2 linked regions of the Daphnia pulex genome follow. The protein of the gene in region 2 interacts with the protein of the main gene of each other region in a pairwise test. Links are inferred from orthologs where the notes say so. Each region holds a gene or a part of one and is shown on either strand. Other genes may lie near its edges.

The links. The genes of interacting proteins can lie anywhere in the genome.
Region 1: the proteins of T-box-containing protein TBX6L-like (region 2) and homeobox protein bagpipe-like interact in a two-hybrid assay, tested with the Drosophila melanogaster proteins (2 studies listed by BioGRID). The link is inferred for Daphnia pulex from reciprocal best matches to the Drosophila melanogaster genes Doc2 and C15.

What each region holds. Positions count from the first base shown.
Region 1 is NC_060024.1:11,049,266-11,056,928, reverse strand, and holds the start of homeobox protein bagpipe-like, read right to left. Parts: upstream 4,013-7,663; 5' UTR 3,672-4,012; coding exon 2,819-3,671; intron 1,944-2,818; coding exon 1,852-1,943; intron 1,625-1,851; coding exon 1,491-1,624; intron 1-1,490.
Region 2 is NC_060017.1:3,030,353-3,037,903, reverse strand, and holds T-box-containing protein TBX6L-like, read right to left. Parts: upstream 4,880-7,551; 5' UTR 4,664-4,879; coding exon 4,555-4,663; intron 4,453-4,554; coding exon 4,233-4,452; intron 4,158-4,232; coding exon 3,893-4,157; intron 3,814-3,892; coding exon 3,667-3,813; intron 3,598-3,666; coding exon 3,489-3,597; intron 3,417-3,488; coding exon 2,923-3,416; 3' UTR 2,762-2,922; downstream 1-2,761. Other genes in the region: hypoxia up-regulated protein 1-like, read left to right, coding at 188-455, 521-949, 1,009-1,153, 1,222-1,482, 1,552-1,696, 1,760-1,972, 2,031-2,227, 2,301-2,392 and 1 more.

The sequences.
Region 1 (7,663 bases), on a different chromosome or scaffold from region 2:
ACCTCGCCGGACAAGTCATGGCGCATTAGCTAGACTTGTGTGCTATGACGTAACATCAAGAAACCCCACTGTTCAAAATATCAAAGGGGGAAAAACGCCCAAGGACACATCAGCAATAATCAATAAATAACCAGTCGTGAATCAATCGGAATTTCTTTCGTGATAGTATTATAATATCCCCTCTCACACACGACCCATGTTTTCTGCGATTGTTTTGCGGCTCTGTTGATGGAATAAATGATTCGCATTCAGAAACAAAAAACCTGTTCTCTTCTTCCCTTTTTTAATATTACATCGCCACCATTTTTAAAGCGACTAGCCAATATCAAATCTAATGGCGCAACGACAAATAAAAGTCCTTTTTTTAAAAAAAGTCGCCATTCAAATTGGGAAAATAAAGTGATGATGATTTACGCATTTTAGATTATCATCTTTACATTACAATCTCAAACGGAAAAAAAAGTATTTCTTTTCTTTTTCTTTTTAAACCATTTTAGTTTTAGCTGGAAGAACCTGCTCTGGGAGGTGGCGCCCACCATCCTGGGTGGGTTTTTTTTTTGCGGCCGGCGCCAACGACTAGCGACAGACAAATGGGCCCACTCAAACAATTTGAAAAATAAAAAAGACACACACGAGAGAGAAGAAGAGGGGAAAGAAGACTACAGTACACACGACGGGCGGCAGCCAAAGAAGAAGAAGAAATAAAAACGTCTGGATGAACTTGGCGCCCTTTAGCAAACGATCTTCGTCGTTCCCGTAATCAGCCGTGAACAATTAAGACAATCCCGCGTCGACAGATAATAATGCGACTCTCGATCAGCTCGCAAAGTAGAGAGATAGAACCAGCACACGGCAAACCAGCCGAGAGAATATAACATATATACAACCAAAAGAAGAAGAAACTTTGTTTCGACGACGACGACGACGCCATGCACGTAGATATACACACACTGTTGTATATATTGCCTTGGGCTTCCCCCCCGTCCTCCTCGTTCGTTATCTGATTGGCACGTCGGCGGTGAATAATGTAGACGGCCATTTTGAATGACAATCAGGCACTTGGTGAAATACAAATGCAATAGCTGCAGCTGAAAGTGCTCGTGTAAAGCTGATGTTTTTTTTAAATGGCGCGCCAGCCATTTTCAGCGGGACAGCAGGAGGGGGGGAATGTTGCCGATAGGAAATAAAACAAAACAAACTCTCTTCCCATCCAAAATACGTTTGAAAACAACAGAGCGCACTATTGTGCTGTGTGTGTCTGACTTTAAATAGGTTTTTATACACATTATTGAAACTACAAAGCAGCAGCAGGAGCCGGGAGTTTTTGTATGTATAGCTTTAGGGGAGTGTCAATCAATCGTCTATTGATAATGAAGTTGCTCCTCCTTTTTGGCCCCCCTCTCTTTTTATTTTAAATTTTAAATTGAATAACCCGCGCGTTCAGGAATTTCGGTCGGTTTAGTTTTGGTAATATTATTATCATCACTGACCTCCATTTGGTGCGGCGATTTTGGAACCAGGTTTTCACCTGGGCGTCGGTCATCTTGAGCAGTTTGGCCAGGGCGGCGCGTTCAGCAGACGCCAGGTATTTCTGCTTGTGGAATCGCTTCTCCAACTCGCACACCTTTTTTTGGGTCGTAGCGTAAAAATAAATCAATGAATTATACAACTTGGTTTCAAGGAGACAATCAAGACTCTTTAATAAAATAATAAGTTGACGTCAGTCGACTATAGCCATTCACCCCGACGGCGAATGTAATGGGTGTTCTAGCGAATCGTTTCGGTGCTGCCGTGTCCACCGAAAGTAATTAATCAATGATTGATCGCGAAAAGCAAATCGACTATGCTCACCTGTAAACGAGTGAATGAAGTGCGAGGTTTTTTCCTCTTGGGCGGCGTTCGCTGCTGGTACGGATGGCCGATGCGTCTGGCCAACGGAAATCCTGAAAAAAACATTTCCAAAAATGTCATTTTACATCGACGTTACAATTATGTAAAAGAGTTGAAATAAAAAACTTGAACTAAAAAAAGAGGTGTCAAATAAAATGTGGGACCGGCGGCCCAGCAGAAGCGCCAATAAGTTCAAAGTGCTTTGGCCATTACTATTTCATATAATATCTCTCAGACTAGCTGTGACTCTGTGACTCTCTCTCGAGATGCTGGCGTATATGGATTCTCTTTTTAATATTCAACATATGCATAAAGAGCAATCCACTTGCGTCGCTGGGGCGTCACGTTGAATGTCCGGATCATTCGTCATGGGCACAGCACAACCCCCCCCCAAGCGAGTCAAGAGATATGTGTTATATACATTTCAAAATGATTATTCTTTTTTTTCGATTCCAGCAGCAGCAGCAGCAGCCCCAAACGGCCATTGATACAATAGCTAGACAGCTACTGTATATACATGTCAAAGAGCTCGCCGTCTGTGTGTGTCTATAATACACATACGTCTATACAGCCAGCAGCAGAGAGTCCACGTCGTAATAAACGCATCAAAGATTCCAGGGGAATAAAAAATAAAGGTGATACAAAATTTGTGAGACTCTGTTTCTCTTTTTCAAATGGAAGGGGGCCTGGGCCTTTATGACGATATCATGAATAATTTAGCGTCGACTTTTATTTGATAGGTCTCTCATACTATCCTCTGCTGCTGTGTGTGTGTCTATAGTGTCGTCGGCGGTTGAGCGACAATTTTCGCTCGATTTATCATCCGTGTCGTGCGAAATGAAAGTTTCATTTTAGAAAATTCAAATCACGCGCGCTTTTTTTTTAAAAGAATAAACAACCCAACATTCCCCGCTATGATGATTATTACCTGCGGCTAATCGATCCTTGAAGACGGTGGCTTCCAGTAGAGCGGCAAAGGCGTTGGGAATTCCGGCCGGATTGAGTCCGCCACTCATGTGGTGGTGGTGATGGAGACTGGCCGGCGACAGCGGCGAGTGTTGAGATGACGAAGATAATCCGTGCGGAGGAGGTGGCGGGCCGCCGGGGTAACCGCCGGAAGACGCCCCACCGCCGGAACCGGCGTTCGTACCCGTCGATCCGGGTGTCGACGGATAGCTGAGGTAAGTGCCGGCGCTCATGTTCAACATGCCGCCGGAAGGCCCTCCGCGTTGGCTGTTGGCAAAGGCGCCGGAATTGTGGTGGTGCTGCATCAAATGCGACGGAATCATGCCGTGGTGTTGTTGGTGTTGCTGTTGTTGCAGGGCGTAGAGGGCGTACCAGTCGATGCCCATCGACGGATGCGGCGGATGACTAGAATAGTCAGGCATTTTCGAATCGTCCGGTCGAGATCCGGCCGATTCCTCGTCGCCGGAATCGTTGACTTTGACGTCCTCATCGTCGTCCACGTCACTCATGTCCTCGCCCATCTCGTCGTCCACTTCCAGCGGCGATTCCGGCGGACTTTCTCGGCTGAGCAACAATTCAGCCGCAGCCGCTGCTGTCACTTTCGGGTTGCTGTTGGACTTGACCGTAGCCGACGGTTTAATCTCCAGCGGATGAGCCGAGGCGGAATTGTCATTGGCCGTAGCTTTTTCCAAGAGTCTAGAAATGCTAAAACTCAATCCACTTCCGGCACTGCTGGTCGTGTTGTTGGTACGGGGTGAGGCCGAGACTGCCATCTTGTTAACAGGACAGGTCATCACCTGACTGTCCAGTGTCATTACGCAAAATTACGCCGGAATTCACTTGTGGTGTGGCACACTGGATCCCGCACGAATATGTTTCACTTTTTTAAGACAACGGAGGGATTGACTGATTTATTCAATTCAATTCCGGCCGGAATAAAATATTTCAAAATTCTATAAATGAACGAAAAACAAATGAACAAACAAAACCAACGAAACTGATTGACGGCGATGTGACTGATTGACTTGGTGCGTGAATGACGGGGGGGGGGGAACGGTGAAACGGCGACGACTTTTGTGACTTGCAGTTAGTCAGCGACTGAGTGCCGGATCGCTGTGTAATCTGCCTCTCATGTCAAGTGACTTGAACGCTCTTCGGGACCCGTTTTCTCCCTCCCCTCCCCTTTCATCCCCACACACAAAGTCACGTGAGGTGGTGGGAGGAGCTTGCGGGCTGGCACCACCGCTCGCCATTGGTCCGCCTATTCAACTGCCATTGGTTCTTTTTGGAAAAAGAAATAGAAGAAAAGAAGGGCAAAGCCCAAAAGTGAGGGTGGGGGATGCGGATTGAATTTTCTTTTTATTTCTTCCGCTTTTTTTCCTTCGTCTATATGCCGAGCGAGTCCATTATATTCCGTTTTATCTTCTTCTTTTCTCTCCCTACCATTTTCCGTTTTGTAATTTTTCTGTCTTTTTCCAGGTTCGTTGTTTTTGAAATATAATGTAAGGCGCGCGGTTTTCACGCTAATACACGCAAAGGTAATACACGCTGGCTATACACTGCAGTGCACATACTACATTACCGCCGCCCGGATGACTTAATTGGATTGTTTTGCCTCCGGTTTTTCTACTTTTCCCCGTTCCGCTTAACAAGCTGGAGGAGCCTCTAATCGACTTGATATTGTGTGTGTCTAACTATTAACAAACTGACTGACTGGGCTATGGAAGGAAAAATTTGGTTTGTTTTTCTTCTTGGCCGCTTCCGACTCTACTCGGAAGAGTCATTCCGGCGTAAGGGAAAAATTATTTTTCTTGTTTGTTTCAAAATGAGGAAGAAGATATTTAAGATGTGTGTGGCGACTAAATAACAATCAAGAAATGAAAGTCTGTACTATATAGGCCTGCTGGCCGCCATCCGGAAACACATATTCCCACCGTTTTTCTGGCTGCCTGGATCTCGTCGTAATAATAATACGGAATAAGAAATAGAAATGAATACAATGACTGAATTATTAGACGCTCGATCGATTGCTGGAGCTCTCTCTTTCGGGCGGATGCTGCTTGGGAGGATGAAAGAAAAGACGGACATAAACATGTCGAGAAACCAAGGGTCACCGAGGGAATTTCATCCCAGCTCGGCCGGCTGCTCTGCTACTGCTGCGGGAGTTTTCAATTGAGCAGAGTGGCTCTCGTCTCTTTAAGACTCTCTTGACTATTGGACGCTCTCTTGTCTGATGGCAGCAGCTTTTCTTTTTCAAATAATAAAACACACACAAAAAATAAAAGAACGGCGGAAACATTAAGGATTAACATGATTGCACCTTGATTCCGTGCTAGTACTTGTTTAGGCCTATGTAGATATGGCAGAGCCAAAGAAAGAAAGAAATTGGATTAATAAATAATTTCGTGCCGGCTATAAATGGATGCGGTGCGCAATTGTTTGTCAAATATGTCATGGGTGGTATATATGTATAGTGCGCATATATAAAGTGGGGGTACTATAATTTAAGCGTATAATGTATTATTATTAGAGACGGCCGGGCATATCATCATCAGCACTGGTGATATTATTGTTCTAATAAGTTTTAAGAGAGTTGACGTCGGGTCGCAACGATTGACACGCAATGCGGGAAGTGTATAACCCCGCTCTCTTTGCTATAGCCTGGCCTGGAACAAACGCCCAGCACACAGCTCTTGTGTACACATTTATTCTCGTGCGCTGCCCGGCTCAACTGGGCACATCGTCATAAAGCAATTAAACGCCGGCGCTATACTTGATGTCAGCCGGCGTCGTCTCCATATAGTTTTTGTCGGGGGCTAATAATTTTCCCCATTGAAATAATACATTCCCCCATTTCTTTGAATTGATAAAAAGTTAAAAATTTTTACAATTGATATCCTCCCTTATTTGCTCTTATAATTAATTGCTTATGGCGCTATTATTTAAAATTTAGCTAATTTGGAAATCAATGAACGATCGATCAATAAAAAAACATTATCTTTTTCTTTTGCTGAAGGCGAGACAGGATTCTGGGAAGGACAACAAAACTAGTCATTTGTTTATTCGTGAGTGTTTGGAAAAGAAAAAAAAAATTCGAATTGAAATTTGTTGAGGGGGAAGAAGAAAAATAAAAAAACGAGCCGGTATACAAGCAGAGTAGAGCGTGGTGATCAATTCTTTTCGATGAACGTGACAAGACTGGTCTCATTTTTCCAGTCGAGTCCATTTGTTTGTTCTGGCTTTTTGGATGTACACCAAATATATATAAGCTCATCACAGTCGATCAGAATTGAACAGTTATATAGAGTTTTGTCGATTGAAACCCAAACGAATCTGGTCAAACATGATGCATCCCCCCCCCATTAGACGTGTGCTGAGCTCTCTCTCTATTATACTATTTCCCTTTTTCAAGTACGCTATAATACACTTAGCCGCTGTAATATAATATGACAATTTGGCGAGGTATCATCAACTTCGTTTTCAAAACTCCTGCCTATACTGCCTGATGCTCTCTTAGTCAGATTTTATTACAGCCGTGATTATATACATGCACAGTTGCAACTCGAAAAAGTTAAGAAACTATTAGACATGTGTGTGTATATACCCCGTTATAATATCAGCGCTTCTATGTGTGTACATATAATAAACCTCCAGCCCGCCAGAAAACTAGAGATATACATATACACAATATGTATATATAATATCTCTATAACGTTAAGTATAACTGCACGCGGGACTAAAGTATATTATATGCATGCTGTTACGACTTGATTATGCCCCCCTCCCAACCCAACCGACGTTCCAGCTTAATCGAGTTATAAAAGCAAAGGCTATGATGATGATGATGATGTTTGACGGTGGCCAAAACTTTTGCACAATTTCCACAGTGTGCCGGGGCCCGTTTTGATTCGTCCTTTTTGTCTAGCTCTACTGCTGCTGCTGCTGCTGCTGCTGGGCAGCACTTGGGCTCTTTTTATGGCTCGTCGTCGTGTACGCCGTTATATAAACGCACACAAAGTCATCGGGTCTGCGCTTGGGGGGGGTCCTTCCACTGCTGCAATAACAAACCGAACGCAGCACAGCCAAAAAGGGCTTTTGGGCTTCATAGGACATAACGTCATCGGCTCATTTGAATAAATCACGGGGGGGGGGGGAGGCAGGACAGACACGTACTATATAGGTAGCCTACGTACACGTATTACATATTACGCGTTTTCTCCGACAGTATACCTACACATACAATTCATATGTATAAGAACTGTGCCGTTTCTTTCTCCATTTGGACGATCGCGTGAGTGTAATATTATTATACAGCCACATCACAAGACTTTGAGGCTATTCGAAACTGACCGGGCGGGACACGCGCATTCAAACCAGAAAAAAAAAAAAATACAAAAATGTTATATTATCGCATATTGCACCGACCTGTGAACGAGAAAAAATAGAGAGGAGATGTTAGATGTTTTATAATGACTGCGGACACTATATACACACGTACGAGAATCAGGCAGCAAAAGAAAAATTATTGGGGGTCACAAAAGAGTTGGGATATAACATGGCATATGGTGATTGCTCCTCTAGCTGCTGCTTTTGGCCCCCGGGCTTTATACAATGATATCTCAAACAAGCGAACGACTTTTTGACTTTTGGAGATATTCAGGGGGGCTGATGGAGAGGGGAGGTTTGCCATGTATATAATAGGCTCCTGTCGCAGATGTCGTGTTATTAATAGACAGAGGGGGGTGAGTGTATAGACATAAAGCACACGCTTATGTTTCATGTATGTATACATTGTGCTGATATCTGT
Region 2 (7,551 bases):
CTTAGATTCAAAGACAAATTTTCTGAGCTGAATTGTTGCCCAACATCTGCAGCACAAATTTTGGATTACTTGAACAATGAAGGTTTGGATCGAATTGTGTTGTTTTTCCTCAATGTGTGCTGACTGCTGCTTATCATGTGGTATCGAGTTCTTGGTTAACTTGTGTTTTATTTCCTTCAAATTGCAGGTATGACGCGCGAGGCACATTATTCGACCTGAAACCACATGAAGCACCCCAGGGCGGCCACGATCGCACCGAAGGGCTCACGTCCGAAGAAAGACGCATTGAAAAACTATGTGACGAAGAACGCTACTTCGCTCTTTACAAAGATGAAGCGGAAGAAGCTGTCATCAAAGAGGAGGAAATCAAGAGGCTTAACCAGGATCTGAGTGAAGTCACATCAGAGGAAGTCTCTTATCATCAGGTCCCCTTTAGCTACACCAGTTCAACTGAGGTGGGACCACCATTTTCTTCACTTGAAATCAATTCAGTAATTCATGTTTGATAACATTTGGACAGGTCAGTGACTTGAACTCAAAAGAAGTCCCTCTTCAATCAGCACTTGGTGAATTGGGAGACGCAGTTTACGTACCTCCTCCTATACTTGACGTACCACCAGACATCATAGTGCCACCGACTCAAAAGTTAGCGAGGATTATCGAGAAAACGGCAAACTTTATTTCTTCTCAAGGGACTCAAATGGAAATCATTGTCAAGGCCAAACAAGCTAACAACCCCATGTTTCAGTTTCTACATTTTGACACTGCCTTGCACCCATTTTACCGTCACGTACTCGCAGCCATACGTAACGGAAACTATGTCGTTCCGACAGAAGATCCAGTCGAAAATGACGACAGAGGAGAATCCGCAAAGAGCAACGGACATGTGAATGAATCCGACAGCGAAGGCGATAATTATTTGCACCCTCTTTTACAATCCAAAATTTCGGTTAGAACGACGCGATTTAAACTTGTTGAACTTGGATAATCATATTTCCAACTTTGCAGGATCCGGTCGTTTCACCGACAGTAGAATCAAATGATGATGCGCAGTCTTTACAGCTGTCTCCAGAAGTTCGTTTACTAATTGATAAAACTGCAAGTTACATGTCGCGGATTGGACGCCATTTGGAATCGGTTGTTCAAAGCAAAGGTATACCTTCTATTTGTATTATTATTTAAATTTCATTTGTCTTGATTGGTTTTTTGTTTGTCGTGAAGGCGACCCTCGTTTTAGTTTCCTCAGTACCGAACATTCATTTCACAGCTATTACAAGGAGAAACTATCACTCTACACCGATATGCAGCAAGAGCTACAAGCCAAGCAGTCAGAATCCTCGAATCATTCCGTGGAAAGCAAAAGGGAGACCAGAGAAGAAAGCCCTGCAGAACGTTTGGTTGTTGATCCCGAGCTGATGAAGACGGAACGTCGGAAAAAGGCGGCGTTATTTCTTGACCAAATGAGAAGGGATAAAGTTGCTGGTATTGTTCGACTTGAGTGTGAACTGCTACAGAAACTATAGCGTGTGTTGTTTTCTTAATTTCCCAAAGGGAAAGAGGCAATAGAAGAGACGGAAACGGCAGAGATTGCATCTACAAGCAGTTCAACAAAGAAAAGCAAATCTGGCAGCCCTGACGATGCAGATGTAGAAATTATTGGTGCTATTTCTGGAGAAACGAGAGAAAGATCACGAAGGTTAGTTATCCTGATTTATTCGTTTCTATGTTATTTTGCATAAACTAACTGGAATTTCCCTAGTTTATCCACCACCCGTTCCATGTCTCGTTCTCCATCTGAAAGACGACGGCGAGCGATCCGTCGCCGTAGTCGAAGTCGCAGCCCACAGTCCAGCAGAACTAGATACCGCAGCGTGAGTCGAACCAGACGAAGTAGAAGTCGTAGTCGTAACAGACCCATCCACAGAAGCCCATCACCACGACGTCCACACAAAAAACACCGCAGTCGCGACAGGTATTTGACAAGAATTTTGTCTTTCATTTGTGTCGATTTTTATTCTCGTTATCTACAGGCATCGAAAGGAAAAGAGGAAACGCCGTAGTCGTGATCGATTACGTAAAAGTAAACGTCGCCATCGATCTCGAAGTCGATCGGGAAGCGACAGATTTAGTCGGAGTCGAAGTAAAAGTCCACGGAACAAGAGTCGATCACCTTCACGTGAATCACGCGTATCACCCATCACTTCGGCTGTTCGTAAACTCGCAGCAGGTAAAAAAATAAATAATAAGTGGCAGACAATGAAAGTGCGTTCGTATTTTTAATTGAATCTGTTTATATTTAGAAGCTGCAGCTTCCAAGAGTTGTTCGGAAACTTCAAGTCCATTGCCGTCGCAATTAATGACAATTCAGCCAGCTTTTGCGAAAATTGCCGAGGTTAGAAAACCAAACGATTGAGCTTACAATTCTTATTTATCTTATCGATTTTATAGGGTATTCGAGCCAAGGTTATTGCAATGATTGAAGGCGATAAGAAATAGATGCTGCTGTGCTCTAAATGAGAAGTAGGCGACGTTTTATTCGATTCTCCCGTTACATCGAAATAAATAAATTAATAATTTTTTTTTTTGTTTCCACCGAAGCCGTTTCGACTTACTTAATGAATAAATGAATTCAATTTGCTGGATTTGTATTTATTTTTTTTTTATTTTGTGTGTGTAATAATCAATTAATTTTAAAAGAGTGAGAAATGAAAAAAAAATCACTTTTTCATTGTGCTAATAGAATATGGGATATTTGCGACACTTTTGTTTTGTGTTTGTTTGATTATTCAACGTGAAAATAATACAATTATATCAACAGGGAGTGCGGAGCGAAGGCACGTGATGCGGCATACCCCTTTTGACTAGAGGGAATACACGAAAGAAAATAAAAAAGGGACAACGAAGAAAATAAGGCGAGAATTTTTAAAACAGTTTGTTCGCATTAGGATTTCCAGTGAGTGAGGTCGAGCCAGGGCTTCCCATCATCAAGTGATGAGGGCCATTCTGGAACATGGAAGAAAAGTGCATCATAGGAATCAAAGGCAAGTGGTGAGGCCATCCGGTCAGCCTCGGAGCAAACACAGAAGAATAAGGACTGAGATGGTGGTGATGCTGATTTGCCATCCACGGATGGATGGCTGGATGAAGATGGTGAAAGGATGACGGCTGATGATGTTGCATTTCAGGTCGGAAAATGATGGGTGCCGGGCTGGTTGTTTCTCCCACTAGGCGAGCGATTGAAAAGTTGGTGGGTGAACCTTTGATGGGCGATGACGACGAAACTGTCAACGAAGGTGGCGGAGTGACAGGATCCTGGAGGACTCCGGGCGCTGTTGGTGGATTGCATTCGTCGTCGGTGATGTTGAGTGATGAATGAGAGCTTGAAGCGCTGCTCGGTCGAGATTTTTTACGGTTTTCTAAACGAATCAAGACACGAGTTTAATACAACGGGTTCCGTTTGAAATCGAGCAGGTGAATCAATGACTTACCAGGTGAACTGTCTCTCAATTGTCGCTTTTTCACTCGAAGCTGGCCGTTTTCACGGAATCCCTTGGCGAACGGGTTATTATCGATTTTCAGTTGCGTCATTCGATCGTTCTAGAAATCCAATAGAATAATCGTTATTGATACGTTCGTAATTGAATTTTTCCGACATTTAGAACTTACAGCGTAGGCGGTGACGGCGATGAAACTGCAGACGTTGAAAGCCGCGGTGTTGATGGTCGTAGGCATTCCCCAATGGAGGCTTGCGTAATCGGAAGCTGCGATGACGTGGATTCGTGGAACGTACTTGTGCATCGAGGTGAGAACCAACTGTATAGGTTAAAAATTAAAATTGTCCGTTAATACCCGAGTCGCAATTAATGTGTGACGAAATGATCAATTAACTTACGTGGCCTTGCTGATCCATGGTGTTGTTGGTCAATTTGACTTTTTGGAATGAGATTTCGTGTTTCATCCACTGAGCTCCGGTGGCAGGACTGTCCGGGTGGGTGTAAATCCTCGACGGCCATTGTGGTTCTGCCTTGCCGGAACGAAGCCATCCGGCGTTGAAACGGAATCGAGAATCATCAGCCAGGACTAAATCCAACAGGACAAAGTATTTCGTGTTGGGATCCAATCCGCTCAAGTTGACTTTCAAAGTCGGAAACATCCGTCTGATTATTTTCAAAGGAAATCAAAAGTTGGATTAGAGAAACAAATTCGCCCGATTGATGGATTGATTCACGCACCTTCCCAACTTTGTGATGATCATTTCCGTGCCGATCTGATGGAATTGTTGCCACAATTCGGCGTTTTCCAATTCAATTTTGATGTTGGGATCGGATTTGACGGAAGCGGCGGCTGCCAAATGGCGATGGGCCATCATCGCAGCTGCCGACGCACTGTGATGAGCTGCCGCCGACGGAGGAAGTTGATACGGTGATCCAGCGCTACCAATCGGTGGCAATTCTATTGTTTCGAAAGGGAGAAAGAGAAAAACGGAGAGTTGAACGAACGAACCCACCAACAATTTCTTCTTCTTCACTACCCAAATGCAAAACGAAAACATACCGTAAGGTCTCCGTTCATTTGGGAATCGATTTCCGGCCGCATGGATTGCCAATTGCTGAAGCTCATCTTCTCGACTCACGGCCGACGATGCCAATTTAGCCGCATCCATGATTTAATGGCTTTGTACTTGTTGGGTTCTAAACTCACAATCAACTGTGCACACACAAAAACACAAGCACACAACACTCTGTTAAGTGTCTTGGAGTGGACACACTGATAATGGGCCAGCAAAAAGTTGTTATTCTTATTTTTCAAATAGTGAAGACGCACACACAACGCGACCGCACTGGACTGAGATACTTGAACGACTGATGCTGAAGAGTGAAGACGACCCGATAGATATCATGTTTTATTTCCCAGTTGCTTTTTCGCAAGTCCGTACGAGTGGAGACGGATCGTCGCGCTGGCTCCGGAATTGTGTGCTGGCCATAGCCCTTGGGTGGGCTGCCAAAGAGAGAGAGAGACCCTGGTTCGCCATTGGTCGCCTCCCCAATTTCGGGCCTTCCTCTTCTCTTTTCTTATTCATTCCATCCATTTTCCGAACCCCCCAATCCGCTTTTTATTATCTCTCGGCCATTCAAGTCTTGATGCCTTGATCCCTCCTCCTCCTCCTTCATTCGGTCGTCGTCTCTGCGTTCAATTCTTTTCTTTCAATCTTTTATCTTTTATCTAATTATCACCATCTGCTGCTGCCTTTCCACATAGAGAGAGAGAGATTGCTACTATCCATCTTTCTTTCCGTGTGCCATTTTTGAAAATAAAAAATACTATAGACATGTATGGGATGTGTAGTACTTTCAATGTCGCAGGCCTCTTTTGTCCACCCACTTATTTACCCCATTTTCTTTATATGCACAGCCAAACTGCTGATCCAGCCATGGATACGTCTGGCATGTGTATCCGAGTGCCGCCGCCAGCCTCAGCCCGCTTTTGCTTTAGATGCGCGCGATAAACCGCATCCACCTATCCATTTGCTTTCATTAACCCATAGTTTGTTTGTGTTTTTGTTTTGTTGTTCGATTCGCATATCGAGTGTCAATTGCCTGGTAAATGGCGAGGGTTTTATTTCTTTAAAGTGAAACGAGAACATGCGAGTTGTTCCTTTTCTTTTTGAAAAAAAAGAAGAAGAGAAACAAAAAATAAAAGTCCGATGGGAACCGATCGGCTGGCGCCATGTCCACCAGCTTGTATCTTCTTATATATAGCTTCTTCTTCTTCTCCTACCTTGTTGAAAATGAGAGATAATCCACTCAGTCACGCTTCAAGGTTTACCGCAAAATTGGCCAGGGTTTTTCAATTGAAAACAAAAAAAAAAACAAGATGATATAGCCAGAAAAAAAGAGACACAATCTCGAAATGATAAGAGAGAGAAAGAGACGGAACCCCGAAATCATCATCCATCCCACCGCTTTCACGCGACAATCGACGATGACGGACCGCGGTTGAGCCTACAGGCGTGTCTTGTTTCCAGCCCCTCGACACAACGGCGACATAACCAATGTGGGGGGTTGACGACACAACGGAATGGATGGAATCATTTGCCTGTGGGCGGCAATCATCAAATAATGACACGGAACCGTATACAGACAAGAGTCCCCCTCTCCAAAATTATATGGACGATGTGTACAGAAACATTTTCCTTTTTTCTTCTTAAGGTTTTTATATGCGTACATATATACCAATCATCTTTGAAATGATATCAGAGTTGTAAGAAAAAATGGCTCGACTGCTGTCGTATAACACAACAAAAGAAGTACACTATATACGGCGGCCGCTGTATATGTGTGAGTGAGTGATAACGTTGGCGCGACTGGGTCATCACTCCGGCGCGGAATTTCAAGCGAAAAATAAAAGGAACCATCAGAGAGAGAGAGAGAGAGAGAAAAGATGAAGGGGAGGTTTTTTTCTTTTTTTTCTTTCAAAACCTTGCTGGTGGATTTGTGGGGGTTTGTTTCTGGTCAACAGCGATAACGAGCATGATCTTTTTGTTTCACTAGAAATCCGACTGAGAGAGAGGGGGTCAACTTTTGACAGGCATTTTTCGAACGTTTAGCGCGACGAGAGTCGCACCATTCTCTTTTATTTTTTCTTAAAACAAAAAAGAAAGAAAAGGTTGGAAGAAAATATATTTATTTTAAGGGGCGATGGAATTGTTTCCCCGTCTGGAATTCCGGTTGGCTCGCTCCCTCCATAAGAAAAAAGGAAAAAATTGTAAACCTCGCGGGGCTTGTGCGCTGATGCTGCAGTTATACATACAGTGGACTGAGAGCTGCTGCTGGTGGGGGGGTCATCCACATATATAAGATTCATATGCATCTCTCTCTCTCTCTTTCCTCTGGTATATTTCATTTTTGCCAGTTAAACACTACGGAAAGGTAATGGGAAAATAACCACACACACAAGAACCCCAAAAGAGATAGAGGGCTTTGGAATTTGTTCTTCCACCTTATTATTCTTATATAGTACGGCACATTTCCAATGAGGGGGGAACCTTTTTTTCTTCTTCTGTGAGAGGGGTTGGTCCTATTCATCTTCTTCTTATATGAGCCTTGTATAAATGGAGAGAGAAGGGGGTTGAACACACATCACATAGCACACACACACACACACGGGGTTATCTCTTTTTGTCCTACTACTACTACTATACGCTACAACACTCGTCTCTGGATGACCACCAAAGCAGCCAGCCAGCGGGTAATTAGACGATTTGGGGGCCTAGAAATTATAAAGCAATCCGCAATATAATGGCCATTCGGATTTGTTGTTTGTGTGTTGTGTTTATTTGTTCGCCTGGCTCCGCAGAGAGCAAAAGATAATGTGGGGAATAAAAAACAGCCCACACATAGAGCTGGGCAGCAGCTCAAATGGTCACCAAAAATTCTCTATGTGTTTTTCTCCAGCCTTGTTTGAATAGTCCCATATCTTCTCTGACACATAGACATTATACGTAGTATGTATACGGAATTTACCTGGGCACTAACAAGTGCGGGGAGGGGT